Callithrix jacchus: one gene and its partners. The protein of the gene in region 1 purifies or fractionates together with the protein of each later gene. This does not show direct contact. Links are inferred from orthologs where the notes say so. Each region holds a gene or a part of one and is shown in the gene's direction. Other genes may lie near its edges. The genes, in order: SKP1, BCORL1, FBXL4, FBXO42, FBXO21, ARB2A and FBXL18.

The links.
Region 2: the proteins of SKP1 (region 1) and BCORL1 purify together in Homo sapiens (affinity purification with mass spectrometry; 3 studies listed by BioGRID and IntAct, with this or other methods). This does not show direct contact. The link is inferred for Callithrix jacchus from reciprocal best matches to the Homo sapiens genes SKP1 and BCORL1.
Region 3: the proteins of SKP1 (region 1) and FBXL4 purify together in Homo sapiens (affinity purification with western blotting; 9 studies listed by BioGRID and IntAct, with this or other methods). This does not show direct contact. The link is inferred for Callithrix jacchus from reciprocal best matches to the Homo sapiens genes SKP1 and FBXL4.
Region 4: the proteins of SKP1 (region 1) and FBXO42 purify together in Homo sapiens (affinity purification with mass spectrometry; 8 studies listed by BioGRID and IntAct, counting the BioPlex papers as one, with this or other methods). This does not show direct contact. The link is inferred for Callithrix jacchus from reciprocal best matches to the Homo sapiens genes SKP1 and FBXO42.
Region 5: the proteins of SKP1 (region 1) and FBXO21 purify together in Homo sapiens (affinity purification with mass spectrometry; 6 studies listed by BioGRID and IntAct, with this or other methods). This does not show direct contact. The link is inferred for Callithrix jacchus from reciprocal best matches to the Homo sapiens genes SKP1 and FBXO21.
Region 6: the proteins of SKP1 (region 1) and ARB2A purify together in Homo sapiens (affinity purification with mass spectrometry; 3 studies listed by BioGRID and IntAct, with this or other methods). This does not show direct contact. The link is inferred for Callithrix jacchus from reciprocal best matches to the Homo sapiens genes SKP1 and ARB2A.
Region 7: the proteins of SKP1 (region 1) and FBXL18 purify together in Homo sapiens (affinity purification with mass spectrometry; 3 studies listed by BioGRID and IntAct, with this or other methods). This does not show direct contact. The link is inferred for Callithrix jacchus from reciprocal best matches to the Homo sapiens genes SKP1 and FBXL18.

What each region holds. Positions count from the first base shown.
Region 1 is NC_133503.1:74,176,293-74,180,312, forward strand, and holds part of SKP1 (S-phase kinase-associated protein 1), read left to right. Parts: intron 1-2,291; coding exon 2,292-2,432; intron 2,433-3,413; coding exon 3,414-3,449; 3' UTR 3,450-3,475; exon of another isoform or gene 3,476-4,020. UniProt on the Homo sapiens protein: Essential component of the SCF (SKP1-CUL1-F-box protein) ubiquitin ligase complex, which mediates the ubiquitination of proteins involved in cell cycle progression, signal transduction and transcription.
Region 2 is NC_133524.1:125,714,820-125,719,447, forward strand, and holds the end of BCORL1 (BCL-6 corepressor-like protein 1), read left to right. Parts: intron 1-2,961; coding exon 2,962-3,244; 3' UTR 3,245-3,761; downstream 3,762-4,628. UniProt on the Homo sapiens protein: Transcriptional corepressor. May specifically inhibit gene expression when recruited to promoter regions by sequence-specific DNA-binding proteins such as BCL6.
Region 3 is NC_133505.1:104,969,924-104,974,400, reverse strand, and holds the start of FBXL4 (F-box/LRR-repeat protein 4), read left to right. Parts: upstream 1-1,405; 5' UTR 1,406-1,551; exon of another isoform or gene 1,552-2,018; intron 2,019-4,477. UniProt on the Homo sapiens protein: Substrate-recognition component of the mitochondria-localized SCF-FBXL4 ubiquitin E3 ligase complex that plays a role in the restriction of mitophagy by controlling the degradation of BNIP3 and NIX mitophagy receptors.
Region 4 is NC_133508.1:53,659,172-53,663,735, reverse strand, and holds the start of FBXO42 (F-box only protein 42), read left to right. Parts: upstream 1-1,590; 5' UTR 1,591-1,803; intron 1,804-4,564. UniProt on the Homo sapiens protein: Substrate-recognition component of some SCF (SKP1-CUL1-F-box protein)-type E3 ubiquitin ligase complex. Specifically recognizes p53/TP53, promoting its ubiquitination and degradation.
Region 5 is NC_133510.1:120,185,281-120,189,300, reverse strand, and holds the end of FBXO21 (F-box only protein 21), read left to right. Parts: intron 1-1,372; coding exon 1,373-1,563; 3' UTR 1,564-3,839; downstream 3,840-4,020. UniProt on the Homo sapiens protein: Substrate-recognition component of the SCF (SKP1-CUL1-F-box protein)-type E3 ubiquitin ligase complex.
Region 6 is NC_133503.1:116,527,202-116,531,737, forward strand, and holds the start of ARB2A (cotranscriptional regulator ARB2A), read left to right. Parts: upstream 1-1,538; 5' UTR 1,539-1,699; intron 1,700-4,536. UniProt on the Homo sapiens protein: Plays a role in the regulation of alternative splicing, by interacting with AGO2 and CHD7. Seems to be required for stabilizing protein-protein interactions at the chromatin-spliceosome interface. May have hydrolase activity.
Region 7 is NC_133503.1:17,027,485-17,031,504, forward strand, and holds part of FBXL18 (F-box/LRR-repeat protein 18), read left to right. Parts: coding exon 1-582; intron 583-4,020. UniProt on the Homo sapiens protein: Substrate-recognition component of the SCF (SKP1-CUL1-F-box protein)-type E3 ubiquitin ligase complex.

The sequences.
Region 1 (4,020 bases):
CCTCCCAGGTTTAAGCAGTTCACTCCACCTCCCAAGTAGCTGGGATTACAGGTGTGTGCCACCGTGCTTAGCTAATTTTTGTATTTTTAAGTAGAGATGGGGTTTCACCATGTTGGTCAGGCTGGTCTCAATCTCTTGACCTTGTGATCCACCTGCCTCAGCCTCCCAAAGTGCTGGGATTATGGGCATGAGCCACCATGCCTGGCATCTGGTAAGTTTTTTTTAACATATAAAATAGCTCTATTCCAGAGCCTTTAAATATTACTTCTTACAGATTTAAAATTTGCTAACTTCATTGACACTGAATTTTAATACTCTGAATTAAAATGTAATGCCATATTTAAATCCACATATCAGTAACACACTAAATGTAAATGGTCTAAACACAGTTAAAAGGCAGAAATTAACAGATCAAAAAAGCAAGATTAGCTATGCTGTCTGTAAGAAACCCACTTTAAGGAAATAGACACACCTAGGTTTAAAGAATGAAAGAAGGTAAACTATACTGACATGAATCAAAAGAAAGCTGGAGTGACTATGTTAAAATAGATGTGGAGGCAAAGAATATTACTAGGGTTAAAGGGGATTATTTTGTATCGTTAAGGGGATCCATTTTTTAAGAAGACATAACAATCATAAATGTTTATTTGCCTAGAAGAATTTCAAGAAGTGAAACAAAACCCAGAAGAACTCAAAGAAGTCCACAAATTTGCAGTCATAGAGCTTTCAGTACCTCTCTCAATTAATATAACAAGTAGACAGAAATCATGATAACTTGATATAACACTATTGACCAACTTAATGGACATTTATAAAACATTTTATCTATCTATATCTATATATTATGTATCTGTTTGAGACAGTCTCACTCATCACCCAGTCTGGAGTGCAGTGGTGCAGTCTCTGCTCACTGCAACCTCTCCTCCCGAGATAAGTGATTCTCCTGCCTCAGCCTCCTGAATAGCTGAGATTACAGCCACCTGCCACCATGCCCAGCTAATTTTTTGTATTTTTAGTAGAGACGGGCTTTCACCACATTGGTCAGGTTGGTCTCGAACTCCTGACTTCAGGTTATCCACCTGCCTTGGCCTCCCAAAGTGTTGGGATTACAGGTGTGAGCCACTGTGCCTGGCCTAAAACATTATATGTAACGATAGCAGAATACATATCCTTTTCAAGTGTATATTACCAAGATAGACCGTGTTCTGGGCCATAAAACAAGTCTCAGCCTGGAACAGTGGCTCACACCTGTAATCCCAATACTTTGGGAGGTCGAGGCATGTGGATCACTTGAGGCCAGCAGTTTGAGACCAGCCTGGTCAATATGATGAAACCCCTGAATTAGCTGGGTGTGGTGTCACACACCTATAATTCCAGCTACTTGGGAAACTGAGGCAGGAGAATCGCTTGAACCTGGGAGGCAGACGTTGCAGTGAGCCGAGATTGCACCACTGAACTCCAGCCGGGTGACAGAGTGAGACGGTGTCTCAAAAAGAAAAATCTCTATCATAAAAGGATTTACGCCATACAAAGTATGTTCTCTGCAATGGAACTAGAAATCACAAACAGAAAGGTAACTGGAAAAATCTGCAGCTTCTTTAAAACTAACACATTTGCAAATAACCTGTAAGTCAAAGAAGAAATAAAAAGAATTTGTATTTTGAGCTGAATAGAAATAAAACACATGAAAAATCTGTGAGATGCAGCAAAAGAAATACTTAGAGGGAAATTGATAGCATGAAATACCTATATTATTAGAAAAGAAAAGTTTCAAATCAGTGATCTAAGCTTCCACCTTAAGAAACTAGTAAAAGATGAAATTAAATACAAAGCAAACAGAAGAATTAGAATATATAAGGGCAGAAATCAGTGAAATAGAAAATAGGTAATAAAGTCAGTGAAACCAAAACCTGTTTTTAAAAATCAGATCACTAAATATAATGCTATAACTGCTTATTGAACTCTTTAAGTGTGGACAAATATTTTTGTCAAGATCTGATGTGGTATTTGTCAAGATCTGATGTGTGTCTGTACACACATACACAACAGTAGTGGCCATTAACATTTGAGCTAATACAGTTTGGTTAAGGAAGCAGAAGGATTCAGCATCATAGAGATGTAACAAAGGTCACATAAAAGTCTTTCATGGAGGAACTTATGAGTGATTTATTCTTCTCCCTTTAATAAAATTATCATTTTAAGCTTTATTAGACATGGAGTTTCAATCATTAACTTTAGATTTAGTTTAAAACATCAAGTATACTTTAAGGAAAACAACTATCTCTTTACAGGCTGCAAACTACTTAGACATCAAAGGTTTGCTTGATGTTACATGCAAGACTGTTGCCAATATGATCAAGGGGAAAACTCCTGAGGAGATTCGCAAGACCTTCAATATCAAAAATGACTTTACTGAAGAGGAGGAAGCCCAGGTAGGTGGCACACAGTTTTGTCTCTGATCGCATGCTCTTAAAAAGGGACTAAAGCCTGTAATACACCAGAAAAGAGGTGACTGTATCAAGTAGTCTTGATACTTGAGGGATACTAGGTAGTTTCTGTGTCTTAAACATACTCTTACTGTACTGTCTGTATGAGTCTAAACACTTACATGATACTGCATTTTTTTTTTTGAGATGGAGTTTTGCTCTTATTACCCAGGCTGAAGTGCAATGGCGCGATCTCGGCTTACCGCAACCTCCGCCTCATAGGTTCAGACAATTCTCCTGCCTCAGCCTCCTGAGTAGCTGGGATTACAGGCTCGTGCGACCATGCCCAGCTAATTTTTGTATTTGTAGTAGAGACAGGGTTTCACCATGTTGACCAGGATGGTCTCCATCTCTTGACCTCGTGATACACCCACCTCGGCCTCCCAAACTGCTGGGATTACAGGCGTGAGTCACTGCGCCCGGCCGATACTGCATTTTTAAGCATAAGAACAATTAGTTTTCAACAAGAGGAGCTCTTTCTTGTAAATGTGTTAACAGTTACTAGTTCTGGCATCTGCAGCTTTTTGTATAGACCATACATATCTGACTTCAGAAAAGCAGGCCCTAGAGAAGTGTATGCTAGGGCACTTGAGAGCAACTTAATGAGGGGAGGAAATGAAAAAATAGATCAGAATGATTTTGTTGACATGACTACAGACTGAAATTGTGTCAGTTAACTAACTGAATTTGCTCTGTCAACTTTAGTAAACTGCCCATTGTCTTTATTTTGTTCAGAATTTCAGCAGGGCAGAATAAAAACCTTGGGAGGCAAAAAAAGGAAATCCAGAAGTGTAGTCTCAGTCTGGTGTTCTGATTTTCCATCTATTCTACTGACTCACTGGCTATCGATGAATCAGTAGGTAGTATATTTAAGTCTTAGGAAACACTACTAAAGTTAAGGTACTTCCTTATATCCATCTCTTTTAGGTACGCAAAGAGAACCAGTGGTGTGAAGAGAAGTGAAATGTTGTGCCTGACACTGTAACACTGTAAGGATCGTTCCAAGTACTAGTTGCACTGCTCTGTTTATAATTGTTAATATTAGACAAACAGTAGACAAATGCAGCAGTAAGTAAATTGTATTAGCAGAATATTGTCCTCATTGCATGTGTAGTTTGAGTACAGATTCCAAATCTATGGCTGAGTTTCTTCTAATATGATTGAAAGTTTCTTTTTTCTTTGCTCTGAATAAAACTGAACTGTGGGTTCTCTATAAGTGGCATTTTGGGCTTTCCCTCTTTTTTGTAAAGCAGTGTCTGCCTAGTTTATTGTCCAGTTAACTTTAGTGACCTTTTAAAAGTTGGCATTGTAAATAAAACAACCTGCAAAAAAGTTATCTGGAATAGAATTAACAAAATATTATCTTTATTCATGAGTTGGAAACTGCAAAAGGCTTCTTGAAGTAAATGTTCTGAGTGGAGTTACTAGGATGTCTTTCAGCCTCCTGCAGGCAAGGAGTACCACCATATTGATTAGCCTGTATTTAGCAGGGCTCCTCCCTTCATTGCATCTGAGGACTTGTCTTCTTTTTCTT
Region 2 (4,628 bases), on another chromosome or scaffold:
AAAAATAAAATAAAATAAAATAATCCAGTGAACCAGCATGATATTCACAGGATAGGGAGCTGAATGGACAATGGATTAGGAGGTCTTTAAGTAAGAGCCTCTGTTTAGGGCTCTAACCATTACACCACAGTTTCTTTGCATTCCCCCCACCCCACCAACCCCCTACACACACACACACACACACACACACACACACACACACACACACGGCCTGATCAGAATAAAAATAGCGTATATGATGGTACTAGTAGAGATCAAGTTTCAGGGGCTTTTGGTCCTTATTCTTCTGGGCATAAGCTGATCCCTGAGGGCAAGGAGGGGCCTCTGGGATATAGTGTTGCATGGTTAATTAATTCCTCCGATGTATTCAGCACCTCTCTCTCTGAAATAGGATCTTGGGCTTCAGGCAGTAAAAGGACCAGGGTAGTCTGCATTAGGTGCAGACAGAACACGGGCCACCGAGGGCTGCGTGCCCCTCAGTGAGCCAGTGGCAGGCACGTGGTTAGCCCAGAGCCCAGTACCAGCAAAGCTGGTTTTCCTGACATGACATCCTCCAGCGCTCCTTCTAGAGCTGCCCTTCCCCACAGCTGCAGCACACTGTGAAAATGTCTGTTCTTGAAGAAGTTGGGGGTGGGGGTGCTAGTGTAGAATGATGCCTCAGAGGCCCTATGGCATGCAGAAGGACCTTCTGAATCACCAAAGCAAGACTGAATTCTCATTACTAGTGTGCATGTTTTCAGGGCTTTTTCCCATTCTTTGGAAGTGATGGTCCAAGTGTGTGCTATCTGTCTAGTCCCCTTTTCTTAACCCAAAGCGCTCCATTTCCTATTCCTGTGAGATAAGAACTTGCTGTCATTTGGGAGTAATGTTGCATTTTAGGGATAAGGATCGTGGGTCTGGTTAGATGTTTAAGGCACTGGAATGGAACATTTGATTCTATAAACATGTCTTCAACAGCTGCGCCAGGTCAAACCCTGGGGACCAGAACTCAGCTCTGGCCTTCGAAGAATTCACTGTCTAGTGTAGTAGACGAACAAGTATATAATTAACCCTAATCAAAGACAAAATGTCCTAATCAGATTCATTGTAAAAAAACTCCAACACTTTCAGAAGGGTGTCAAATGCAAAAAGTTCCCGTCCACGCTGAGCCCCCATTGCTATGCCGCAGAGTGAACCACAGTTTAAGGTTCTTTTGCAATCCTGTCAGAAGTGGGCTTTGTTGATAGTATTACAATAGGGTTGTGAATCAAATGCCACGAGACCACGGGAGATGGAGGAACAATGAGTTACAAGTGGGGAAGGTTTCACAGGTGATATGGTATCTCCCTGAGCTGGGCGGGGAAGGAGGGAAAGATGGAGAGAGCAAGGCACTGAAACATACAAATTCAGAAAGTAGGGGGAGTCTTTTATCATGTGACCGGTGCTTGCTGGGATGGGAGGTAAAATGTGGGGTATGTGTGTGTGTGATTAAGTGGACATTGGGCTGAAGAAGTTGGAAGATCTTTTTTTTTTTTAGATGAGGTTTCTCCATGTTGGCCAGGCTGATGTCAAACCTCCTGACCTTTGGTGATCCGCCCACCTCGGCCTCCCAAAGTGCTGGGATTACAGGTGTGAGCAGAAGGTCTTATATAATAATATCATGGTAGTGGCCAGACATGGTGGCTCACTCCTGTAATACCAGCACTTTGGGAGGCCGAGGCGGGTGGATTACTTGAGGTCAGGAGTTTGAGACCAGCCTGGCCAACATGGTAAAACGCCATCTCTACTAAAAATACAAAATTAGCCAGGTGTGGTGGTGCATGCCTGTAATTCCAGCTACTCGGGAGGCTGAGGCAGGAGACTTGCTTGAACCCAGGAGGCAGAGATTACAGTGAGCTGAGATCTTGCCACTGCACTCCAGCCTGGGTGGCAGAGTGAGACTCCATGTCAAGAAAAAAAAAATCATGCAAAAGAATTTAGAATTTTTCTGGAGGCACTGGGGATCCACTGCAAGCTGTTTAGTGAGGGAATGGAAGGTCAGACTTTCTTTGTAGAAAACTGTAATGGTAACAGATGATCCAATGAGGGTGAGTAGGGGTGCAGAAGAGTGACCCCTGGCAAAGGGAAACCAGTTAGGAGGCTGATAAGCTGGAGCCCAGGCCAGAAGTGGCAAAGGCTGGAGCTGGGGTCGTGGAATAATGAGGAGGGCAAATTCTGTGAACTGGGACCACTAACGTGGGGAGGCAGCATTTCTTCCTGCATTAGTCAATGTAAGCATTTGGCCCGGGACTGGCCTCTCCAGCACCCCTCCCAGCTGTCCCCAGGCTGCCACCCAGTCGAGTGTGCTCAGCAAAGTCAGACTCAACTCACTGTAATGTGAGCTCTGGCCCTGCAGAAATGATGGTGCTGCTGCCGGAGAAAAGAATTGTCTAATGCATTCCAGAGCCAAAGAGAAATGCCTTTTGGATTACCCGCAGTTTAGGCCTTTCTCCACGGCTCCCCCTCTGCTGGGGAAGATCATGGAGAGCAAGGAGGCCAGGGAAGTGAGAGAGAACTGGAGAGAGAATCCAGCCGGGCTGGCAGGGGCGGGAATGCCGGGAGGGGGAAGACCAGTCCCAGCAAATGGTGAATCCCAGGTCACAGGGTGCAGGCTAAGTCCCCAGGAAGCCCACTAGAGTTTGAGGTTCTGGAAGGCCCCTTTCCCTCCTGCTTGTGTTATTTCGGAAAAGATCGGTCACGGATTGAGTGCTCACCGTTTAGCTGAAAGCCGGACCAGGTATTGCAGGGGACAGAAGACATTTGCCTCAGCCGTACCCAAGGAGCCTGTGGTTTACCAGGCGACAGGGGAGCCAGACTGGCAGTGAGTTATAATGGGAGATGAGGGTGGCCGCACAGCCTTCGTGGGCTTTGCAGGGTGTTCTGGGTCGGTGCCCCCACTGCTGCCCCAGCCTCCTTCCATAACTCCCATCCTTGTCTTTGCAGGCCCTGCAACTGGTTTCTCTTTTCTGATGTCTTGAAGAGGCTGAAGCTTTCCTCGAGGATCTTTCAAGCCCGGTTCCCGCACTTTGAAATCGCCACCTTGCCCAAGGCTGAGTTCTACCGGCAGGTGGCCTCCAGTCAGCTGCTGACCCCTGCCGAGAGGCCTGTAGGCTTGGACGACAGATCCCCCCCAGGCTCCTCTGAGACTGTGGAGCTGGTGCGGTACGAGCCAGACCTACTTCGGCTCCTAGGGTCCGAGGTGGAATTCCAGTCTTGCAAAAGTTGACCAGGAAAACAGCCCCTCCTTTTCTTCTTTCTCCTTCCGAGTTCACCCTTCCCCCACCTCCCTTGTCTTTCCCCCACCGAGCACCAGACTGCAGAATGAGGCAATAATACGGACCAACAAGAAGCCGCCTTATCAATGCCAGCATTAGCGACTGGACTGTTTTTGTTTTTTTGGTTACAATTAGTTCTCATCTCCCTGTCGTCATCATTGTTGTCGTGGTTGGTGATGGGGGTGGAAAGCTGAACTCCACGTCTGAGGACAAGAGGTCCCAGGGGTGGTGGGAGGTGTCGCCGGGGTCCCTTGGACTGGCCTCCTTGTATATGACCAAGACCAAACCTGGGCCCTGGGTGGCCTTGGCCTGTCCCAAGGAGAAATGAGAAAATCCCCGATCGCTGAGCGCCCCCCCAACTCCATTCCCCTGTGTTCTTCTGTCTTCTGTAGTATTTATTTGATTAGTATTTAATTTGTACTGTTTCATTGGTTTCTGAGAAGTCTGTATCACTGTGACGATTTGAGACAACTTGTTGTTCTGAGGGACTTTCTTTACCTCCTTCCTTTTTCTTTGTTGATGAGCTCTGACAAAGCTATTCCCAGGTGGTTCCCCCCCCCCCACTGGGGTGGGGTGGGGTGGGGGGGACATGAACTTGTGACTAACGAAGCTAGCTGCTGCTGGCCTAGGGCTGGGGGCTTGGGGGTAAATCCTGAGGCTTTGGTGCTCCCCCCCGCCCCCTTCCGCCCTTTGCAGCAGCCCCACTATCTTGAGATTAGTGTTGACAGGGAGAGGAGGATTGTGGGGCCAGCGCTTAATAAGTGACTCTAATAAAGGGGTGTGGAGAAGGGATCTGAGGGGTGAGGGTGCCCCTCTTCACACCTTCTTCACTGCCCCCCTCTGAGTGCACAATATGAGTTTGTTCCTGCATCCTTTCCCCAGTGCCCCCACTCCCCCAACCTCATTCTGGCCTCCCTGTCTCGAGATACTGAGCCTCTCACCTCCCAGCCCTCGGCCCCCCCATCCCTGCCCCTTCCTAGACTCGCAGCACCCCTTCCTTCCTCTCCTCCCCACTCCTCCTCCCTCAGACCCCCATTCTCCTTGGGAATCTGCAGAGGGCTCTGAGACTGACTGCCAGATGTGAAATCCAGGGGTCAGCTATTCTAGGCAAGGGCAGGAAAGGGATCTCTAGACCTTGCTCCTCTCCTGCCTGGGGACCTGAGGTTGAGTGGTGGCCCCACCTGGCCTCCCCCTGGCCTCCAGGCTCCAGCACTGGGTTTGTCCAGTGAGAGAGAGAGAGGAGCTTGGGTTGCATCCCTGTCCCTGACCCCTCTGTGGCATTGTCCCTTCCACTCTTCTTATTTTTCTACCAATTGCTATTTTTCCGAACAATCC
Region 3 (4,477 bases), on another chromosome or scaffold:
AAATAGAACTACTATATGATCCCGCAATTCCACTACTAGGTATAGATCCAACAAGGAAATACATATATTGAAAAGATATCTGCACTTCTATGTTTATTGCAGCACTACTTACAATAGCCAAGATTTAGAATTGACCTAAGTATCTATGCAACAGATATATGGATAAAGAAAATGTGGTACATGTACACGATGGAAAATTACTCTGCCGTAAAACTCTCCACAAAATCCTGTTACCTGCAGCAACATGGATAGAACTGGAGGTCATTATGATGAGTGAAATGAGCCAAGCACAGAAAGACAAATAATGCATGTTCTCACTCATATGTGGGAGCTCAGAAAGTGGGTCTCAGAGACTGAGAAGTATTTGGGAGGGGGCATGGGAGAGTGAGGGGAGATAAAGAAAGGTTGATTAATGGGCACAAACATAAACTTAGAAGAAATAAGAACCGGTGTTCCATAGATCAGTAGGGTGATTATGGTTAAGGTTAATCAATAGTACGTGTCAAAATAGCTAGAAGAGAATAATTTGAATGTTCCTAGCACAAAGAAAAGATAAATATTTAAGAGAATGAGTAATTCAGTTATGTGGATTTGGTTACAGAAATGAATTGAATTATCATGTGTACCATGAAAATATGTACAGCTATTATGCATGAATAAAAATAAAAAATTTTAAAAGTTGAAGAAAATAAAAATGTTTCTCTTTGTATACAAGATATACTGCATATTGTATATTGATTCTGTTCATATATAAGTAAATATCCTTACGGTTTTGCCTCATAAGGAACATTTAGACAGCAAATAATATTTTTCATCTTAGTGGATGTTTTGTAACAAGATAAATATGATGCAAACTAAAAAAGTGCCATACTGAATTTACCAAAAATAAATCAAAATGAGTGAGAGACTACCAGACCTTCTTCATCAGAGGTAATGGTCAGACGCTTCTGAACGTTGGAAATGGGTCTGTAGGCAGGATTTGTACGCAGGGCAGAAGTTTGTAAACTAGAGGAATTATACCTTTTGAGCGCATATAGTGGATATTGTACTCTTCCTCTAAGTATGCGTACCATTCGTATTACCTATACATCGCCTGATTTCACCAAGTCTGGACCGAAGAAGTCCTAGCAGGACAACTACAGAAGGCGAGTCGGTTCTTGGAGGGGATTATTCCGCAGAGGATATGCAGCCACTGCCCGCTGCGGTTATCTAGGCTCTTTACACGGCCACCAATGGAGTGGGGAAGCCAGCAGGAAGCTCCCGCCCCTGGCCCGGGAGGGGGCTGTCCCTATGGCCCAGAACACCTCCCATGGAAGGAACGCCAGGCTTTTTTCTCGGCTCCGCTCCACCTGCCACCAGGCCCCGCCCCACGTCGGCCCCGTCCCGCCTCCCCGGCCCCTTCCGCGTCTTCCTTCCGGGTCGCGCCGGGCCGGGCTTGCCGCCGCTGTGCCGCAGCCAGAGAGTTGGGGAGCCGCCCCCACGTCCAGACCTTTTCGCGCCGCCTGGTCGCGGGTGAAGCCCGCGGCGCGCGCCTCTCCCGGACCCTGCAGGGTACGGCCCTTCCTTTACTTCTCCCTCCCGTGGGTCTCTGCCTTTTTCTTTCGGGGCGGGGCCAGGGCCGAGCCAGGGCGCAAGTCTGCGCTTTGGGGAATCTGGACGCCTGGCAAAGGCCCCCGCTGCCCTCCCCTCCCTGTCCGCGCCCTCGCGCCCCGGCTTCGCGCTTGCGGGGCTTGCTGAGGCCGCTGAGAACTGCTGACGTGCCTCTGGCTGCTTCTCCGCCACACTCTGCCCGCAGACTGTGAGGCATCGTCCGGAAGTGTGCGCGGCTCTGGGTTGTTTACACCGCGGAGGACTGCGGGTCGCCCACACCCGCGCTCCGTGCTGCCTCGGCAGCCACGCGTCGGCCACATGCCCGCCTGTGCTTGTGATTCCCGTGCCTGCTGCCTTGATTTCCTTCTGACATCCGATGGTTTTTGCCTAACCAGGCCTATGTTTTCCTTCTTCAGGACTGCCACAAGGTGCCCAGCTACAACCTTGTTAATGTTTTTAGGTTTAGGGGTGCCCCTTCAGTGTGAGGATGACCGTCTACTTGGCCTCCTTGCCAACATATTTATGACGGGTGGTTTTGGATTTCCTTGGTTTCCTAGTGATTATTACTACAAAGCTTCGAGATGCATTCACAGATTGAAATACAGTATACAAATAACTGTTGTAGAAGGTGAAGATGGTATAAGCCTGTGGTCAGGTAGTTGTGTTGGCAGCATGCCCATCTGGCTTTGTGCCCCAGAGGGCTCACTACCACTAGGTGCAGGATCTTTGATTGCTTTGGTCTGTTTGCAGACAAGTTGCCTTTTCTGCTTCTTGCGTGCACCCCGTGGTTTCTTAAGTTCAGGTATAGGTATACATTTTTTTTCTTTCAGGCTCACTTCCTGCCTCCATTATCCTGTACTGCATATTGTACCTGTTGGTTGAGTAGAGATTTATCCAGAGCCATGAACGCTCTGATAATCCTTAATCAGATTAAGTACTTGGGGGAAATGTGGATCATGTTGTAGTAGGCACTCTAAAAGTTCCTTCAATTGGATTCTTCTTTCTACACTTCTGTTCTGAGTACTAACTTTTTTTAACTTCTGTCCCAAATGTTGGCTTTTCTGAACTCTGTATTTTCAAACTCCTCCCTTCTCTTACTGACTTGAAAATCAGAGAAATCAGCTCATTGTAACATGGATAATTTCTTTACTCACACTGTGATAAAATAATGCAATAATAGTACTCTGTGCAATGGTACATATGGTCAGTTAACAAAAACTGCCCCTTTCTTTACTGTACTAGTCTCATCTTAATTTTGCTGTGGTTAACATTCTCTATCTTAACTTCGCTGATCTAACTTCAGTGTCCTTTTAAAAAGGCCTTTATCCGCATGAATTGTATATCCACCTCCTTTTTCTTGTAGTATTGTTAATTATCTTATTTATATTTTAGTGTGAGATAGGAAGGCTTCAACTTTATATTTTGTTAGTGACTCCATCGTCATTTGTTGAATTCTATTTTTTGCTACTGATCAGTACTATAAATACCGTAGGTCCTAAATTCCCGTCTATTCTTGGGACTTTCTGAACCGTTGTGCAGTGTTCTTTGGCTTCCTATGGTGATCCTGGCTTCTGTGATGCTCTTATTGCTCTAGGTTTGTAATGTGTTTTAATGCCTAGGGATTTGAACGATGCCTGGCATATTGTAGATATCACTAAATATTTTTGAAATGAACGCATTTAGTGGAGGCAAGTTGATTCCCTTTCTTTACCTCTTGCCTCCCTCCCCCATTTAAAAGTTTCTTGCCAGTTATTGAGATTCATTTATTTTAGCTTTCTTTTTCCATGGTCAGTTGAATCATGAACTGTTAATAAATAAATCCCTTGTGTTGCTCACTCAGAATTTGACACTAGAGTTGCTTCTTGCAGTTACATAGAGAAGCAGCCTGATTAAATATCTGCATGCCTTTTGACTTTGCACTGTATCATATAACTGTAGTGTGTCTCCTAGTCAGCTATGATTTAGGATGTTCTGTACCTGGTTTCTAAAAGAAAAATGGTTATCTAAGAGATAAATGGCTGTAGAAGTGTTCCGTTCGGACATCCAAATATCCATTTGTATTTTACCATCCCAACTGGATATCCTAAATATACATTTTAAGATGTTGTTGTAATGGACACCTAAAAACCTTATTAGATCATGAAATAAATGTAGGCATTCTTTAAAAAAGATCAAGCAATACAGAAATACTCAAAGGAGGAAGTGAAAGTGCTGTGTGCCCACCTACCCAGTAACCTTGTTCCATAAAGATTACCACTGCTTGCAGATTTTAAAAATAAATGTGTAAGTCTACCTTTGTTTCATAGATGGCAGTGTACATGTATAATTTTCTATAGCCTCCACTTAATAATAATTGATTAACATCCTTCTGTGGCAGTGCATATAATAGTATCTTGTCTTTTTTGTAAGTCTTTTTGTTATTTCATTGTAGGAATAACCCAAAAGTTATTTAGCCAATCCCCTGTTGGCATTTAGGTTATTCCAAATTTATTACAAACAGAACTGCAGGTCGTTTTTGTGTTTATATTCTGTATACTGTCATATTTGCATGTTGGTTTATTTTCTTAGATATGAAATTGCTATGCCAGAGGTACACCTAAGTGTTAAATTGAGAGATTCTGCAAAAGTGCTCCTCAAAAGTTGTTGGTAAGAGTAAATTTATACAATTTGTTAAAATGCTGCTTTTACTGTATCACGTTGCCAAAAATTGTCAAGGGTCTGAGATCATACCTTACTTGCAAGCTAACAGTTTCATGGAAACTGGCAGAAAATGTGATACTCCTGATTCAGAGTCAAAGCACCACAGTAACGATAGCCAGATGATCATCTTGTGCTGATTTGCTGGAACCCTGATTTCCACTGGTTGATGTAACAAGAGCCCAGTGAC
Region 4 (4,564 bases), on another chromosome or scaffold:
TGTTGTTGTTATTTATTTTTTTTTTTTTTGAGATAGAGTTTCGCTCTTGTTACCCAGGCTGGAATGCAATGGTGCAATCTCGGCTCACTGCAACCTCCGTCTCCTGGGTTCAGGCAATTCTCCTGCCTCAGCCTCCTGAGTAGCTGGGATTACTGGCACACGCCACCATGCCCAGCTAATTTTTTCTATTTTTAGTAGAGACGGGGTTCCACCATGTTGACCAGGATGGTCTCGATCTCTTGACCTCGTGATCCACCCGCCTCGGCCTCCCAAAGTGCTGGGAGCCACCGCGCCGGGCCTCTTGTTTGTTTTTCTGAGACAGTCTTGCTCTGTCGCCTAGGCTGAAGTAGAGAGGCACATTCTTGCTCACTGCAACCTCCGCCTCCTGGGTTCAAGCGATTCACCTGCCTCAGCCTCCCGAGTAGCTGGGACTACAGGCGCGTACCACCATGCCCAGCTAATTTTTGTATTTTTAGTAGAGATGGGGTTTCACCTTTTTTTTTTGACCAGGATGGTCTTGATCTCTTGACCTCGTGATCTGCTAGCCTTGGCCTCCCAAAGTGCTGTGATTACAGGTGTCAGCCACCTCGCAACCGGCCTGCAATTGTTAATCAGTCTTAAGGTCTGTTGTGTTGATGTTAGTGCTGGAGGGTATAATGAGGCATGTCTGACCCCCACTTCCTGTCATGGCCTGAACCATGTTAAATTTAGACTGCCCTGGTCAATTTACCTCTCTGGCCTGGCCTAGGAGAAAGTCCATTCAGAATGCTTGGTGTGGTGGTAGTGGTGGTGGGGAGGGGCTTAGTTTTTTTTTTTTTTTTTTTTTTTTTGCTTACGGAGTTTAGACTGAAGCCCTTGACTCCATCTGGCATTTCCTTAGACCACATGCTGTATGTAGGGCTAAGCTCGTGAAGGTTCGTTCTCACCTACACACCAGGTTGCTCCCTTGGGAGGGGGCTTTGCTGGAATCTATCCCTTGGTGATAGCCAGTAGGATGTAAAGGAACTTGGGAATCCTACATGCCCGAGTTTAAATCCTATGTTTCCCGCGCCGCCCCACCTCCACTGCTAGGTGTGTGGCTCTGGACAAATAACTGATCGTTTTCCGTGCCTCAGTTTCCTCATCTGAAAAGTGGAGCTAGTAAAACACCTCACACAGTGGTTGCTACAAGGCTACTACGATTAAGGGAGGCTTCTCTTGCACACCTCAGGCGGAGTTTCCCTCCCCGTGGGGATGTCCAGGGGCACTTACATCCGCCACCTCTGTGCTCATCGGGCCCTCGGGGTAGAACTTAGTTAATTCCTGGCTAAAGGTTGGTCTCAAATCACAGGGAAAACCACCCAGGTGCTCCAGACATTTGCAGCGGAGGGTGGGTGCGGCTATGAGGTCGACGCTGGAGACGCGGCGAAGACGGGTGCGGAAGCTTCGCACCCCCGGAAGATTCCATCCTCCACAGAATCTTGGTCTGTAGCCACAGCCCTTCTCAATATGGCGCCGCCCCCTAGCCGCCCCGCGCCGGCCCGCCGCGTTGACGTGAGTGCGCGCGCGTGTGTCCTTCGTGCCCGCCCCTGCGCATGCGCGCTCTGCTCTGTCTTCTCTCGGCTAGAGCAGCAGCTGCGGCGGCGGGGTTTGAGTGGAGGAAGATGGCGGCTCTGGGTGGCTTGGGGTCCCGCCAGCTGTGAAGAGCCCGGAGCACGGCTATCGCGGCCTTAGGCACAGCGCCTCTGCTCTGGCCCTGTCCCTGGCTCCCTCATTACCGTCGCCACCGGAGCGAACCCGAGAGCTTGGAGCGGGCTGGGCCAGGTGAGGCCTCTCCTCCTCCCGGGGCCGCGATGGGGAGCTGGCGCCTCCTGCCCTTTATGCCCGGGGCTGGCAAGGGGCAGCGGGCGCCCCTGGTCTGGCGCAGGTCCCGCATCCCGCGCAGGGGTCGGTCTTGGTTGGGCAGGGCGCCTTGCTATCGCCGTCCTTGAGTGAGGAGGAGAGGAGGAGAGTTCCTTTCCAGCCAGCCCTTGGGTTGGGAGCGAACCCACCCTCTCTCCCCAGCAGGGTGATTCTCGTCCCCTCACCCGGGCAGTGAAGGGATGTGTGGCCCGAGCAAGGATGGCTTTAGGGTGTCAGATAATCTTTCATCGGGCCTCCGAACCTTTTACTTCTTTGCGAGAGAGGAGCCGGGAGTCGGGTGCCCATCAAAATTGGGGCTGCGGCTGGGGGCCAGCATCACTGAAGCTGCAGTTGCAGAGGGATAATTTGGAAATTGGTTTTCGTGAAATAAAATAAGCGGCCTTTCCTAGCCCCTAGCTTGTTGAGTGTTCCCCTAGAGAAATGGAAACTGCGGATCTCCTTGCTTGAGACAGCAATCCATGCTGTGACTGTGGAAGACTTCTCTTGGCGAGAATTGTGTGTGGTAAGGGAACGGTGGAGGGTGGGAACGAATTTGTAAGCGAAGAGAAAGCAATTGTGAGATCTTGATGGTCTCTGCAGGGTAACCTCAGCGCCAGTTGAATTCGTTTGAAACCTTCGGATTGTTAAGATTCAGAATAGCCAATTGCTTTGTCTGTTAAATCTCCCGACTTTTATTAGGAAAATAAAGGCTTCATTTCTTAATTGCCAGAGTCTTTGGATTTTTCTGTGGTGGGATTCTGATGGATCTAGATGAAGATCTGACGCTTTACCAGTTCTCACTTGCCGGCAGCAACATTGTAACTATGCTTGTTCCTTTTGGAGAACAACTTTTGTTGTTGTTTAAATGCTAATTGGGAGACTTTGTGTTTCTCATGTAGGGAAGTCGGTTTTGAAGCCTTGTGGCCTCTTCCTTGAGGAATGATGGCTTCATTGGACTGTGCTGTGGGGAATTGTTGAGGCAATTGCTTTTGCTTGGACACACCAAAATACCTTTTGTAACACATTGGCTTTACTTGTGCTTAAGAATGGTGACGTCATGGATTTAAAGAGAAGGAAAATTTGGAAAGTACCATCATTTACAATTGAACATTTAGAAATAAGTCTATAGCTCTTATGAACATTGGTGTTGCTGTGTTTAATTGCTAACTTTGAGTGTATTCATGTGTGTAATCTGATTGGGTGTCTTTTCTATTGTATGTTATTTTAACTATTTGCTTTTGACATGCCAATATAAATGCATTATTCAATCCACATTGATCCATGGGCATGCTGTATATCTTAAAAAGATTTTCCTTGGTGAAATGACAACTGTTTCGGTTATTATTTGACCATTTCTCTCTCTTTCTCCTTTTTTTTTTTTTTTGAGGCAGTCTCTCACTCTGTCACCCAGACTGGAGTGCAGTGGCATGATTTCGGCTCACTGCAACGTCCATCCCTTGGGTTTAAGCGATTCTCGTGCCTCAGCCTCTTGAGTAGCTGGGATTACAGGCGTGCACCACCACGCCCAGTTAATTAGTTTTTGTAATTTTAGCAGAGACGGGGTTTTACCATGTTGCCCAGGCTGATCTCAAACTCCTGGTCTCAAGCAATACCCCACCTTTGCCAGGCTTGAGCCACCGTGCCCAGCCTCCTTTTCTATTTTTAAATCAGACTTTTCCGTAGAAATTTGTCGATTTTCTTAGTGTCTTTGCTAAAGATGTAAATCTGAACTGTCAGCTTCTCTGTGGTAGAAAATTGGAGAGCTACTTTGCATATCAATTCACTAATAAAGAGTCATGAAATTAATGCAGTAAAACATCCTGGTGGCTCATCATTATGCTTCTTGGCATAATATGTTGCACTGTTATGCTAAATCATCATCACTTATTGATGCAACTGCGTGACATCCATGACATCATTTGCTCTCCAGATTTTGACTTTTGCAATTCCTTACCTTACTCAGTTACAAAAAGAACAGGATCAGAAAAAGGTAGCTTAGGATGCTTGTTCTTGTCTGGTTTCTAGAAGGGTCTTTAATAATTGCTTTATTAAGTTTAAACCCTTCAGATTCAGAACTGGATGAGTCCTACCTATTATCGAGAGCAAGCAAAGAAAATGCTAGCAAAACATGAATTTTATGAGAACACTGAGATCCCAAGGAGAAGCTATCTCAAAGATGAACAAACATGTAATTATCTTTGTGATTTCAGGATTGTTTTAGTCATCGAAGTAACTGTTTATAAAACCAGAAGCCATTTGATTAAATAAAGCCCTTCCCATGATTGTTAATGTGGGTCAAAAAAGACAGTGTTTGTGAAAGTGCTTTGTAAAATGTAAAATAAAAGGTAAATATAAAATTGATTATTCCTATTTATGAGCTACCGAATAAAGGCCCTCTGTTTGGCAGGTGTTTTGGGAAGTAGGTACTAATAACTGTAAGATAAGACAGATAAGACAGCTTTTGGTCTGAAGTTGCAGACAGTATGGCTTGGGAGGTAGACAAGGAAAGCCATTAAGTTCTGTATAGTGTAAGAAGTGCACTGAGGCTGGGCATGGTGGCTCACGTCTATAATCCCAACACTTTGGGAGGCCAAGGTGGGTGGATAACGAGGTCAAGAGATCAAGACCATCCTGGTCAACAAGGTGAAACCCTGTCTCTACTAAAAATACAAAAATTAGCTGG
Region 5 (4,020 bases), on another chromosome or scaffold:
TAGCTGTCAGGATCTCAATTATTCTGGGGAGGTCGGGAAGCATGTGAAAGGATTTCAGCTTTTTAAATACCTTTTTTATTCTTTTGAGACGGAGTCTGGCTCTGTCGCTCAGGCTGGAGTGCTGTGGCACAATCTTGGCATACTACTGCCTCCCAGGTTCAAGCAGTTCTCTGCCTCAGCCTCCCAAGTAGCTGGGATTACAGGCACCCGCCACCACATGAGACTAATTTTTGTATTTTTAGTAGATGGTGTTTCACCATGTTGGCCAGCCTGGTCTTGAACTCCTGACCTCATGATCCACCCACCTCAGCCTCCCAGAGTGCTGGGATTATAGGCATGTGCCATTGCACCCGGCCTTTTTATTTTTTTTATTTCATTTTTACAGTCTTTTTTTTTTTTTTTGAGAGGGAGTTTCGTCCTTATTGTCCAGGCCAGCGTGCAGTGACACGATCTCAGCTCACTGCAACCCCCGTCTCCCAGGTTCAAGCAATTCTCCTGCCTCAGCCTCCTGTATAGCTAGGACTACAGGCATGCATCACCATGTCTGGCTAGTTTTTTGTATTTTTAGTAGAGATGGGGTTTCACCATGTTAGTTAGGCTGGTCTCAGACTCCTGACCTCAGGTGATACACCCACCTTGGCCTTCCAGAGTGCTGGGATTACAGGCATGAGCCACTTCACCGAACCTTATATTCTATTTCTCTAGTGGCAAAATTTCTCTGCAGAGAACAGGAAGAGGAGGTAGCATGATTTTCCCAAGAGATGTACAGATAATAACAGCTGATATCCACGTGGGATCTGGAGGTGCAACCACCTTCCATTCAACCCTGGTCTCACAGCAGCCCTGGAAAGAGACTGCTCGCTGTTGGAAGCCCAGGGCCAGTGCTGGAAGGAGCTTGGGTGGAAAGTGTGGTCTGCGTGAGGGACTCCTGTGATAGAGGAGAGTGGTAGCAGGTACAAGACTTGTCACCACGTGACGTGGCAGCTTCAGAAACTTAGCCACTGCCAAAAAAGGAGCAGGCAGGGATAATCTTGTCCCATTGTCCAGTCAGAGAGACCTAGTGAGTCTGTTGTTTGCCAGTTCCTAAGAGACTGTTGGAGTTTTGCTGGAGCCAGACATCCTGCTCAGAGATTTGGAAAATCTGCTGTTCTGTGGGGAGCTTTTGGGGAACCCATACCATGGCCCACATTCTCGTGATTGCCACTCGCTGCCCTTTTCCCATTACCCTCTCCTGGCTCCATAAACATCTTCAGCCTTCCCTTCTACATCTCAAAAATGCCACTTGGAAAAGGTGATGGGAGGTTCTCTGGATAAAAGGTGCTGTAGAAATTGACAGTGTAATGAGAATGCCCATGTGCCTCTTTACCAACAGAAAATTTGGAATATAACGTGGAGCCTCAAGAAATCTCACACCCTGACGTGGGACGCTATTTCTCAGAGTTTACTGGCACTCACTACATCCCAAACGCAGAGCTGGAGATCCGGTATCCAGAAGATCTGGAGTTTGTCTATGAAACGGTGCAGAATATTTACAGTGCAAAGAAAGAGAACATAGATGAGTAAAGTCTAGAGAGGACATTGCACCTTTGCTGCTGCTGCTATCTTCCAAGAGAACGGGACTCCGGAAGAAGATGTCTCCACGGAGCCCTCGGGACCCGCTGCACCAGGAAAGCCACTCCACCAGTAGTGCTGGTTGCCTCCTACTAAGTTTAAATACTGTGTGCTCTCCCCCAGCTGCAAAGACAATGTTGCTCTCCGCCTACACTAGTGAATTAATCTGAAAGGCACTGTGTCAGTGGCATGGCTTGTATGCTTGTCCTGTGGTGACAGTTTGTGACATTCTGTCTTCATGAGGTCTCACAGTCGACGCGCCTATAATCATTCTTTGTATTCACTCCATTCGCCCGTCTGTCTGCATTTGTCTTATAACATTTCCTTGGCTGGACAGATGGGGTTATGCATTTGCAATAATTTCCTTCTGATTTCTCTGTGGAACATGTGCAGTCCCGAGTGAGGACTGTGTGTCTTTTTACCCTGAATTTAGTTGCATATTCAGAGGTAAAGTAGTGTGCTCTCTTGGCAGCATCGTAGAGACAGAGACATTAACAATCTAATGGTAATTAGAATCATTTGAATTTATTTTTTTCTAATACATGAAACACAGATTTGAAGTGTTTATCTTTTTTTTAAAATTTAATTGGGAATATAACACTTTCCCTTCCATATTTCTCTTGAGTTTATGCACATCTCTATAAATCATTAGTTTTTTATTACATAAAATTCTTTGAGGAAATGCATAACAGTGAATTTTGTGAATGGATTTTTCCTTACTCATCTACAATTCCTCCCTTTTAAATGACTACTTTTTTAACTTAAAAAATCTACTTCAATATCAGGAGTAGGTCTTAAATCAGTGATGGGTTCTTTTTGTAGTAAGACATAGAAATCTGATGTTAAATGTTTGCTCTTAGAAGTCATCCTCCCTGGTCTCCAAAGACCAAAAAATGAGGCTTCGCTTTTGTGATCAGGAAAAAAAAAATTCGTGAACCTTAAAAAAAAGTTTCTGAAGGTAAAAAAAAGTGGTTTCACACCTGTTATTCCTTAGAGTCATTTCAAGGCCTGTTCGAATGCAGCAGGTTAGAAAGAGAATGTCTTTCATTTGAAGAGTGTTGGACTCGTGGGAAAGGAGATGTGCTTGTTGTAATCTGCTTTTCCAGGCTGCCAGGGTCCTGACAGCAGCAGGACGAAGCCTGTTTTGATATCTTCTGGGAAAGCCTGACTATGTTCAGACAGTCCTGGCTCCTTCCCAAAGTTCTCAGTAACTGAGCCCGGAGTACCTACCTGCATGCCTTCATGCAGCTCTGGAGCTCCTCCTCCTCCCGGCCTGCCAGTTCTCATGTGAGCTAATCTTGTCATTAATTGATAGACGATAACTTCTGGAGTTAGGACCTAGTTACTTTGCTCTCGACTTTTAAAATAATGCAGTTGCTCTAGTGAACGGGGTGTTAGGGGCCTGTCTGTGCGCCTGTCTGTCCATCTGCATGCAGTATTCTCACCCATGTTGAATGACTGCTGCCTGTTTACCCTTTGGAAACCCTGAGGTGACCGAGGAAAGCCACCTGAGACCACTTAATAGCAAGGGAAGGCTTTAAGCAGTTCCTAGAAAGAGATGGGGATTTGGCCCCAGCTCCTCTAGCCTGAGTTAGCTGTTATCCACTGTCCACGTTCCTTATGAGTTCAAATCCAGAGTCAAAGGATTTGAACCTGCATTTGGAAATGTGACCACTCACAGCGCCTGGCCCACTGAGGTTGGGAGGATTGTACACTACTCTCATTTAAAGGGGAAAATTAGATAATATGGAATTAATATTAATGAGATGCATTAATAAGAAACTGTGAGCATGCTGAGAGTTACAGTTGTTGGTTTTCTGGTTTGACTGATTTCCTTTTTTCATAGAAACATCAAAGCCAAGAAAGATGGTTTACCTTTACTCACCCAACTGTAAATATGTATCTAGACTGTTTTTAAATGTGTTTCTTCATGACTGCTTCATGGGGCTCCAGGAAGCCTGTATCACCTGTGTAAGTTGGTATTTGGGCACTTTATATTTTTCTAAAAATGTGTTTTGGATCCTGTACTCTAATAAATCCTAAGTTTCTTTTTAAAAATTTTCCAAAACTTTTCTCCATTTTAAAAAGCCCTGTTATAAAAGTAGAACTTTCACAATGTTAAAATGTTAACTATTTGGATATAGCAACTTCTTTTCTCCTCAAATGAATGCCAAGATTTTTTTGTACAATGATTAATAAATGGAACTTATCCAGAGAAACCACTCAAATGGACTGCCCAATTTCGTTTCAGGACAGAAAGCCCAGCCACTATGAGAGTAGAATGTCTCTCACCTCTCTTCGGCTCTAAATATGAAAAGTATGCTCTGCTGAAATTTTCTTAGCATTGGTGAGCAGACAGCCTACCTTTAAACCAGGACCTCCTTGCCCAACATTAATTTTATCAGTTCA
Region 6 (4,536 bases), about 42 Mb from region 1:
CTAGTTTTCCCACTTAACGTTCTATTTCTAGTTTCAGGATCCCACATCAAAGTTGGTCTGTCTAGGCTCCTCTTGGCAGTTTCTCATACTTTCCTTGTTTTTCATGATCTTAGCTATTTGGGGTAGTACTGGTCAGGTATTTTTGTCTAATGTTTTTCTCATGGTTAAACAGGGATTATATATTTGGAGGGAACCTTATCTTTTTAATATAATTTGTCACTGTTGCCAAAGTCTAAGAAAATAAAAATGTTTCCCTCCTCTGTTCAACAATCCTTCAGTTCCCCCACTTGTCTGCAGCAGAAAATCAGATTACTCAGCACGACATAGGAAGCTTTTCAAAATCTGGTTGTTGCTTTCTTCAGAATAAAATGTCACTCTACAAACCATTTGAGTTCTTTCCAGAAATGAAGCCCTAACAGTCTCACAATGCCCAGGCTTCATCCAGGTACTCAGTCCTGGCTAACTCCAGTGGATTCTCTTCCTTCTTGGGAACATTGCTCCTTATCTCCCACCACTTATATCATTTGTCTCTCTGATCTTGTACACTTTTCTAAATTTCCCCAAAATAGTATTTACCACTGTGATCATTCAGTCTTTCAATAAATATTGTCTACTTTGTGGACATGCACTGTTGTTGTATGGTTGAAGACACATTTGAAAAACAAGGTCACTACCAGCAATGAGTTTACATTTTAGTGGGACAGGGCACATTTGTAAATAAATAAATGAATAGCATTGTACTTTTATGAAGGAAACAAGTAAGGAGTAGAGATTAAGAAGTAAAACTATGTGGGAGTGAAGTATAGAGAGTCTGGGATCTCCTCTTTGAAGAACATCGTAACTGTTGGTTTACTTGTCAGCCACCAGTCCTTCCTTCTACTTAGCTGCCTGAGACGAGAGGAGGTCTAACTCAGCTTTTGCCCCAAGCATCTAGATTAGCCTAATTCATTAAATTAACAGTTTTGGACTAAATACGCTGAGGGTAGTATCCAAAAATTAAAAATCAGTTGCTCCCATCCCTCCCCACAGATGTACCCTTGAAATACCTTTCAAATCTGTTTCTGGAAAAAACATTAATATCCATTAAGATTTCCATTTGAGTCAAGTATGATAACGAGAAAACTTTCAATTGTCATTAGCATGCTAGCATTAACTTCCTGTTTTACATGTCACAATTCGAAGGTAAATTTTATCTTCCAAATCTCGACCTCCCGGTTTTTCTGGAGTTGAATGGGCAGGGTAAAGTCAGATACACTGTCAGTGGGGAGTGGGAAATTGGCTGTAAGGCCATCCTCAGAATGGTTTTTAAAATTCCGCCTGGAGAACAAGGTTTTAGGGTGGCGTCGTCCGCTACGGCTACCCAGGCAGCCTTAATAAGGAAGGGCGAGCAGAGAGCAACACTACACAAAAGGTCTACATTTAATTCAAGCGGGCCACTCTCTTCAGCGCACCTATCACCACAGAACCAACCCGGGGGCCGCGCCCCGCCTATTTCCGGGTTGTCTTCGCCGCTGCCGTCGCGTGCGTAATGACGTGTCAGTCTCCTGCAGACCCCGGAAGTGCAACTCTAACTTGGTCGGGGCGCGGATCCCGAGAGGGAAAGTCATAACAACCGCACGAGGGAGTTCGACTGGCGAACTGGAAGGCCACGCCTCCTCCCGCCTGCCCCCTCAGCCCTGTAGCTGGGGGCAGAGCTCAGGTAGGACTGCGTTTGCGGGGTTGTGAGCTCCGGGGGCAGGCCTGGGTCGAAATCCGAGGAGGGGGCTGGCCTGGGTCGGTCTTGGGCGGGAGTCGCTGGTCCTGGGGCCCGAGGCTGTCACAACCACGCTGCGTTCCCTGCGGACACCTCTGACCTGTGCCTGGGCCCCCGCTGATGGGCAGGTCCCATGTGCCATTTCCACCCCCCAGGCGGGAGCGACACGTGTGTTCCCTGGATGACTTTCCTTATATCTGGGCGTATGGGATTCTGGGAGTCCCTGGAGACAGAGTAATGGGCCCTCCTCCGCTTTCTGGGAAGAGGAGTTATTGTGGTTCTTTGATTAATTTTTTTTTCCCTACAAAAAGTGTTATTAACCGCCAACGCTTTACCAGAAGTCATTCACTGCAGGTGGATGAAAATGCAGTATAAAATGCTCTCAAAACTTGTAACATGCATGAGCACAGGTGGGACGTTTCTCTGGGATGCAGTATGAATTAAGTGTCGAATACTTTTGACTTTGAAATAAAGTAAGTATGTTTTGGAAGCAGTCTTCTCTTTCCCTCATCCAGGTATTTGACATATAGTGCTCCACGGTATAAGTCTGCTGGGCCAAGAAACTCATTATTTGTGTTTTGGATATACTGTATTTAGTGACATGCAGTGTTGTTGAATTTGTCCGTTTCTCCCAAGTCCTCAAAAAGGCTGTAGAGGGAAAAAATCTCTGGATTTTGTCTGCAAGTGCCTCGTATGTTTATGAAAATACCAATGCGATTTTTTTAATGCAGTACATGACATCGTTTGTATTAACACATGCCATATAGTGCATAATAAATATCACATTTATAAGGGCTTTATCCTACAATGCGAGGGACAGTTACACTGTATACATTTAGCAAATGTAGACACCTAGTAAGAGTGTTTTTGGATCTGCTTTTCTAAGGCCCCAGTGACAGTGCTGGTACCAGGCTTCTTTTAGACTTTTAAACTAGCTGTTACTTCTACTTAGCCAGTGAAGCCTACACAGAAAAGTTGGGGGTGCTCAGGAAGCTTTCAGACTATGACTGCTGCATATGGTAGAATAGTACCAGGGCCAAAGGGGAAATATTATCTATGAAACCATGAGCATCCACGTGTTTATTCATTTAGCCAATATTTTCTGGCAACCTTCAGTGTGCGGGATAGTGTTCAGGTCATGGGAAGACAGTAGTGAACAAAATAGAAAGTCCTTTTGCTCCTGGAGCTTACATTCTAGTTGATGGAGAGGTATAATTAACAAGCAAATATTTAACAAGTAGTGTTTAAGAGATATAGAGAAAGGGTGAGTGCAGTGGCACACGCCTGTAATCCTAGCACTTTGGGGAGGCAGAGGTGGGCAGATTGCCTGAGCTCAGGAGTTCGAGACCAGCCTGGACAACAAGGTGAAACCCCATCTCTACTAAAATACAGGAAATTTGCTGGGTGTGGCGGCGTGCGCCTGTAGTCCCAGCTACTTGGGAGGCTGAGGCAGGAGAATTGCTGAACCAGAGAGGCGGAAGTTGCAATGTCTCCAGATCAGGCCACTGCACTCCAGCGTGGGTGACAGAGTGAGACTCCCTCTCTAAAAAAAAAAAGAGGTATGGAGAAAAATAAAGCAAATTAAGGGGAAAGAGAGTGCTAGAGGATGCCATTTTGATAGGGTGGTCAGTCCCAGCCTCTCTGATAAGGGAACATTTAAGTAGAGATATGAATGAAGTGAGATAGTTAGCTCTGCAAGTATCTGGGGAATTAGTTGGCCTAGTACAAAGGCACAGAGACAGGAGCATGTTTGATATATTTTGGAATAGCAAGAATGTAGGCATGGAGGCAGCAATCTCAACAATATTCCGTAATTTGGGTGCATGAGGGATTTTATTTATTTACAGTTTATTTTTCTCAGCTTTCCTAGACAGACCCCTGAGGAGAATCTGGCTTCTGTAGATATGTAGAGATGTTTCCACGCTCTTCATTGAGCTCTAACAAAAGTAAGCACTATTTACTCAGTTTTATACAACTTGCACTGTCTCTGTTTTTAGAGTCAGATTGGGTTTGCACAGTAGTCATGGAGTGACTTTACTTTTCACTCATTCTCCGGAAGTTTTTCATCATCCGTAATTGAAACTTCATACCTATTAAACTCTCACACCTCATTTTCTGTTACCTTCAGCCCCTGATAATTGCCAATCTACTTTCTGCCTCTTATGAATTTGACTACTCTAGGTGTCTGACATAAGTGGAATTATGCGCTATTTAACCTTTTGTGACTGTCTTATTTCATTTAGTATAATGTCTCCAAGGTTCATCCATGTTGTAGCATGTATCAGAATGTTCTTTTTAAGGTGAAATACAATTATCCATTGTGTGTGTATGCTGTTAATACATTTTGTTTATCCATTCATTTGTCCATGGATACTTAGATTGTTTCCATCTTTTGGTTATTGTGAATAATGCTGCTTTGAACATGAGAGTGCAAATATCTGTTCAAATCTCTGCTTTCATTTCTTTTCGATATCTGTCCGGAAGGGAAATTGCTAGATCACATGGACATTTTATATGTCTCCATATATTTGAGGAATTGACACACTTTTCCACACCAGCCACCTCATTTCACATTCCCACCAGCAAAGCAAAGGAGTCTGGTTTCTGCACATCCTCACCAACATTTCTCCACATCCTTGCCAAACACATTTTTTTGGTTATTTGATAATAGCCATCCTGATGGGTGTAAAGTAGTATCTCTCTGTGTTTTTAATTTACATTTCTCTAATGATTGCTGATGTTAAGCATCTTTTCATTTACTTTTTGACCACTGGTATATATTT
Region 7 (4,020 bases), about 57 Mb from region 1:
CCTGGGCCGCCACCTCTGCCAGCTCCTGGCCCGGCTGCGTCACCTGCGCTCCCTCTCCCTACCAGTTTGCTCCGTCGCCGACTCCGCACCGCGCGCGGATCGCGCGCCCGCTCAGCCCGCCATGCATGCCGTGCCGCGCGGCTTCGGCAAGAAAGTGCGCGTGGGCGTGCAGTCCTGTCCCAGCCCCTTCTCGGGCCAGGCGGGCCCCCAGCCCTCATCAGTGTTCTGGTCTCTGCTGAAGAACCTGCCCTTCCTGGAACACCTCGAGCTGATCGGGTCCAACTTCTCCTCCGCCATGCCGCGCAACGAGCCGGCCATCCGCAACTCGCTCCCGCCCTGCAGCCGCGCGCAGAGCGTCGGGGACTCGGAGGTGGCCGCCATCGGCCAGCTGGCCTTCCTGCGGCACCTGACGCTCGCACAGCTGCCCAGCGTCCTGACGGGCTCCGGGCTGGTCAGTATTGGCCTGCAGTGCCAGCAGCTGCGGTCCCTGTCGCTGGCCAACCTGGGCATGATGGGGAAGGTGGTGTACATGCCCGCGCTATCGGACATGTTGAAGCACTGCAAGCGGCTGAGGGACCTCAGGTGAGGGGGTCTGCGGGGACCTCCCGGGCCTCTGCTGGAGGCTGGCGGAGGGAAGTGTGTTGTCGTGGAACTTGGAGGCGGCCCTGCCACAGGCCTGTCCTCCAGGAGTGCAGAGGCTGGGGTGGGACCTCACCGCGTCCCATGCTTGGCTCAGGGGGCTCTGGGGAGAGCGGCATCTAGAGGAACCCGGGGTGCAGGAAGGAGGCGGATGGCTGAGCTTAGCGTCCTCACTCCTGATAGTGTTTGAGTGATTGTCCCGGCCCTACTGTGAGTCATCCTGCTTAATCCTCTCACAAGCCTACCAGGTGCTTGTGGTTGTTGCCACACAGCAGAGCTAGTAGGTGGGGAGTTAAGATTCGAACCCAGGCCTTTCTGACCTGACTGCAATTCTTTGTGTGCGTGTGTGTGTGTGTGTGTGTGTTTAATTGCATTTTAGGTTTTGGGTTTGTTTTGTGTTTTGGGATGGAGTCTCGCTCTGTTGCCCAGGCTTGAGTGCAGTGGTGCCATCTTGGCCCACTGCAGCCTCCGCCTCCCAGGTTCCAGTGATTCTTCTGCCTCAGCCTCCTGACCACGCCCAGCTAATTTTTTATTTTATATGTATTTTATATATATATATTTTTTTAAGACGGAGTTTCGCTCTAGTTACCCAGGCTGGAGTGCAATGGTGGGATCTCGGCTCATCACAACCTCCGCCTCCTGGGTTCAGGCAATTCTCCTGCCTCAGCCTCCTGAGTAGCTGGGATTACAGGCATGCGCCACCACACCCAGCTAATTTTTTGTATTTTTAGTAGAGATGGGGTTTCACCATGTTGACCAGGATGGTCTGGATCTCTTGACCTGTGATCCACCCGCCTCGGCCCCCCAAAGTGCTGGGATTACAGGCGTGAGCCACTGTGCCCGGCCCTATTTTTATTCTTTTAGTAGAGTCAGGGTTTCACCATATTGGCCAGGCTGGTCTCGAACTCCTGACCTCGTGATTCTCCTGCCTCGGCCTCCCAAAGTGCTGGGATTATAGGTGTGAGCCACCGCACCCCGCTCTTTTTTTTTAATTTTACTTTTATTTATTTTTGAGACAGAGTCTTGCTCTGTCATCCAAGCTGGATTGCAGTGGCACCATCATAGCTCACTGCAGCCTTAACCTCTTGGGCTCACTCAGTCCTCCTGCCTCAGCCTCCCAAGTAGCTGGGACTACAGGCATATGCCATCATGCCTGGCTATATATATATATTTTTAAAATTTTGAAGAGACACTGTATTGCCCGGGCTGGTCTCGAACTCCTGGGCTCAAGTGATCCTCCACCTTGGCCTCCCAAAGTGCTGGTGCAAGCCACTGCACTTGGCCTCCATCTTTGTTTTTTTTGTCTTTTTCTTTTTGAGACAGAGTCTCACTCTGTCACCCATGCTGGAGTGCAGTGGTGCCATCTCTGTTCACTTCAACCTCTGCCTCCTGGGTTCAAACAATTCTCCTGTCTCAGCCTCCCGAGTAGCTGGGACTGCAGGTGTATACCACCACATCTGCTATTTTTTGTTGTTGTTGTTTTAGTAGAGATGGGGTTTCACCATGTTGGGCAGGCTGGTCTTGAACTCCTGACCTCAGGTGATCCACCTGCCTTTGCCTCCCAAAGTGCTGGGATTACAGGCATAAGCCACCATGCCTGGCAGGGCAGAGGCTTCCTGGGTCAGTAAGCACCATGTGAAGGAAGCCCAGAGACTTGAAAATATGCCAGAGAGCAGTCAGGTCAGAGGGTCCAGGGGACAATGGGAGGTGAGAGGGAGTGGGAAAGATGGGGTGGACAAGGCAGGTGGTGACAGTGCTGAGGGCCTTCACCCGGGAGAGGGAGCGGCATCCTGGGCATCCCACATGGGCTGTAGGGGACAGGATGTAGGAGATGGGAGAGGTTGGCTCAGGAGGGGCACCACAGACTCCTGGGAGGTGACGGTCCCTGGGACTAGCAGCAGGACCCATCCAAGAGCGGGGAAGAGGTGGAACCACTGGCCTGGGAGAGCTCTACCCCAGACAGTGTTGGGGACCCATGGCATTTCCAGAGCCAAGCACAAAATGAATTTATGCTGATTATGCTGTGGAGCAAACAGTATTCTTGTCAGTTCCCAGCATTTAAGGAATAATTTGTTAACTTGAGAGGCATTTGAAATCTTGGCAGATAAATCGATCATGAAAAATGACCCCAAATGGGGTCGGGTGTGGTGGCTTACTCCTGTAATCCCAGCACTTTGGGAGGCCAAGTTGGGCAGGTCACCTAAGGTCAGGAGTTGGAGACCAGCCTGACCAACATGGTAAAATCCTGTCTCTACCAAAAACATACGAAAATTAGCTGAGCGTGGTGGCAGGCACCTGTAGTCTCAGCTACTCAGGAAACTGAGGCAGGAGAATTGCTCTTTACCCAGGAGGCAGAGGTTTTGGTGAGCCGAGATCACACCACTGCACTCCAGCCTGGGTGAGAGCGTGAGGCGTTCAAAAAGAAAAGAATAGAGAAGACAAGAAAAATTACCCAGAGTGGTCTGGCTGCAGTGACTCAAACTTGTAATCTCAGCACTTTGGGAGGCTGAAGTGGAGGATCTCATGAGCTCAGGAGTCCGAGACCAGCCTGGGCTACATTGCTAGACCACACACAACTCTGCAAAACAAATAAAAGAATGAGCAGGGTCTGGTGGTTCGTGGCTGTAGGCCCAGCTATTCAGGAGGCTGAGTGGAAGGATTGCTTGAGCCCAGGAGGTTAGATCGAGGCTGCCTGTGATCATGCCACTGCATTCCAATCAGGGCAACAGAGCAAGACTCTGTCTCTCAAAAAAAAAAAATTACCCAAAAGGTAGTGAAGGCCTTGAACCTCAGTGCTATAAGGGACTCGGGTTTGGGAGACAGTGGGGGCAGGGCTTAGATAGTGACCTGCTGTCTCCATGAGTCCTTAGCTAGTGGGGTGGGTGGTGGGTACGTGAAGTCATACCTCCACCTAAGGGGACATGCGGGCACGTGTCATTGTCCCCACAATTGTTAGCGTTCACTTTGTGCATTTGCTGAGAGCCATGCCCTCAGCCCATCATCCCCACCACAATCTGTTAAGGTTGCAGCCATTGCCATTTTCCACATGAGGCTGTGGGAGCTCGGGGAGCTGAGTCTCTTGCAGACGCCAGTGCTTGACCTTGGCCCTGGAGCCATGCAGAGCAGAGATAAGGGTGTCCTTATAAATCTCCACTCTCCCGCAGAAGGCATGGCCGGAAGTGGCTGGGTCTGCTCGGGAGCGACAGAGCTCGAGGCTGACACCTTGGAGCCTTCGAGGGCCCTGCAGTCAGCCTGGGTGCCACCCTTCTTCTTGGCCTCCCATTGCAGACCTGTTAGTGTTGGGGTGAGAAGCCCAGGATTAAACCCAGGACTTCAAAAGACAGAGCAGATCGCTAAAGCCTCTTTATTTCCTGCCTGCTG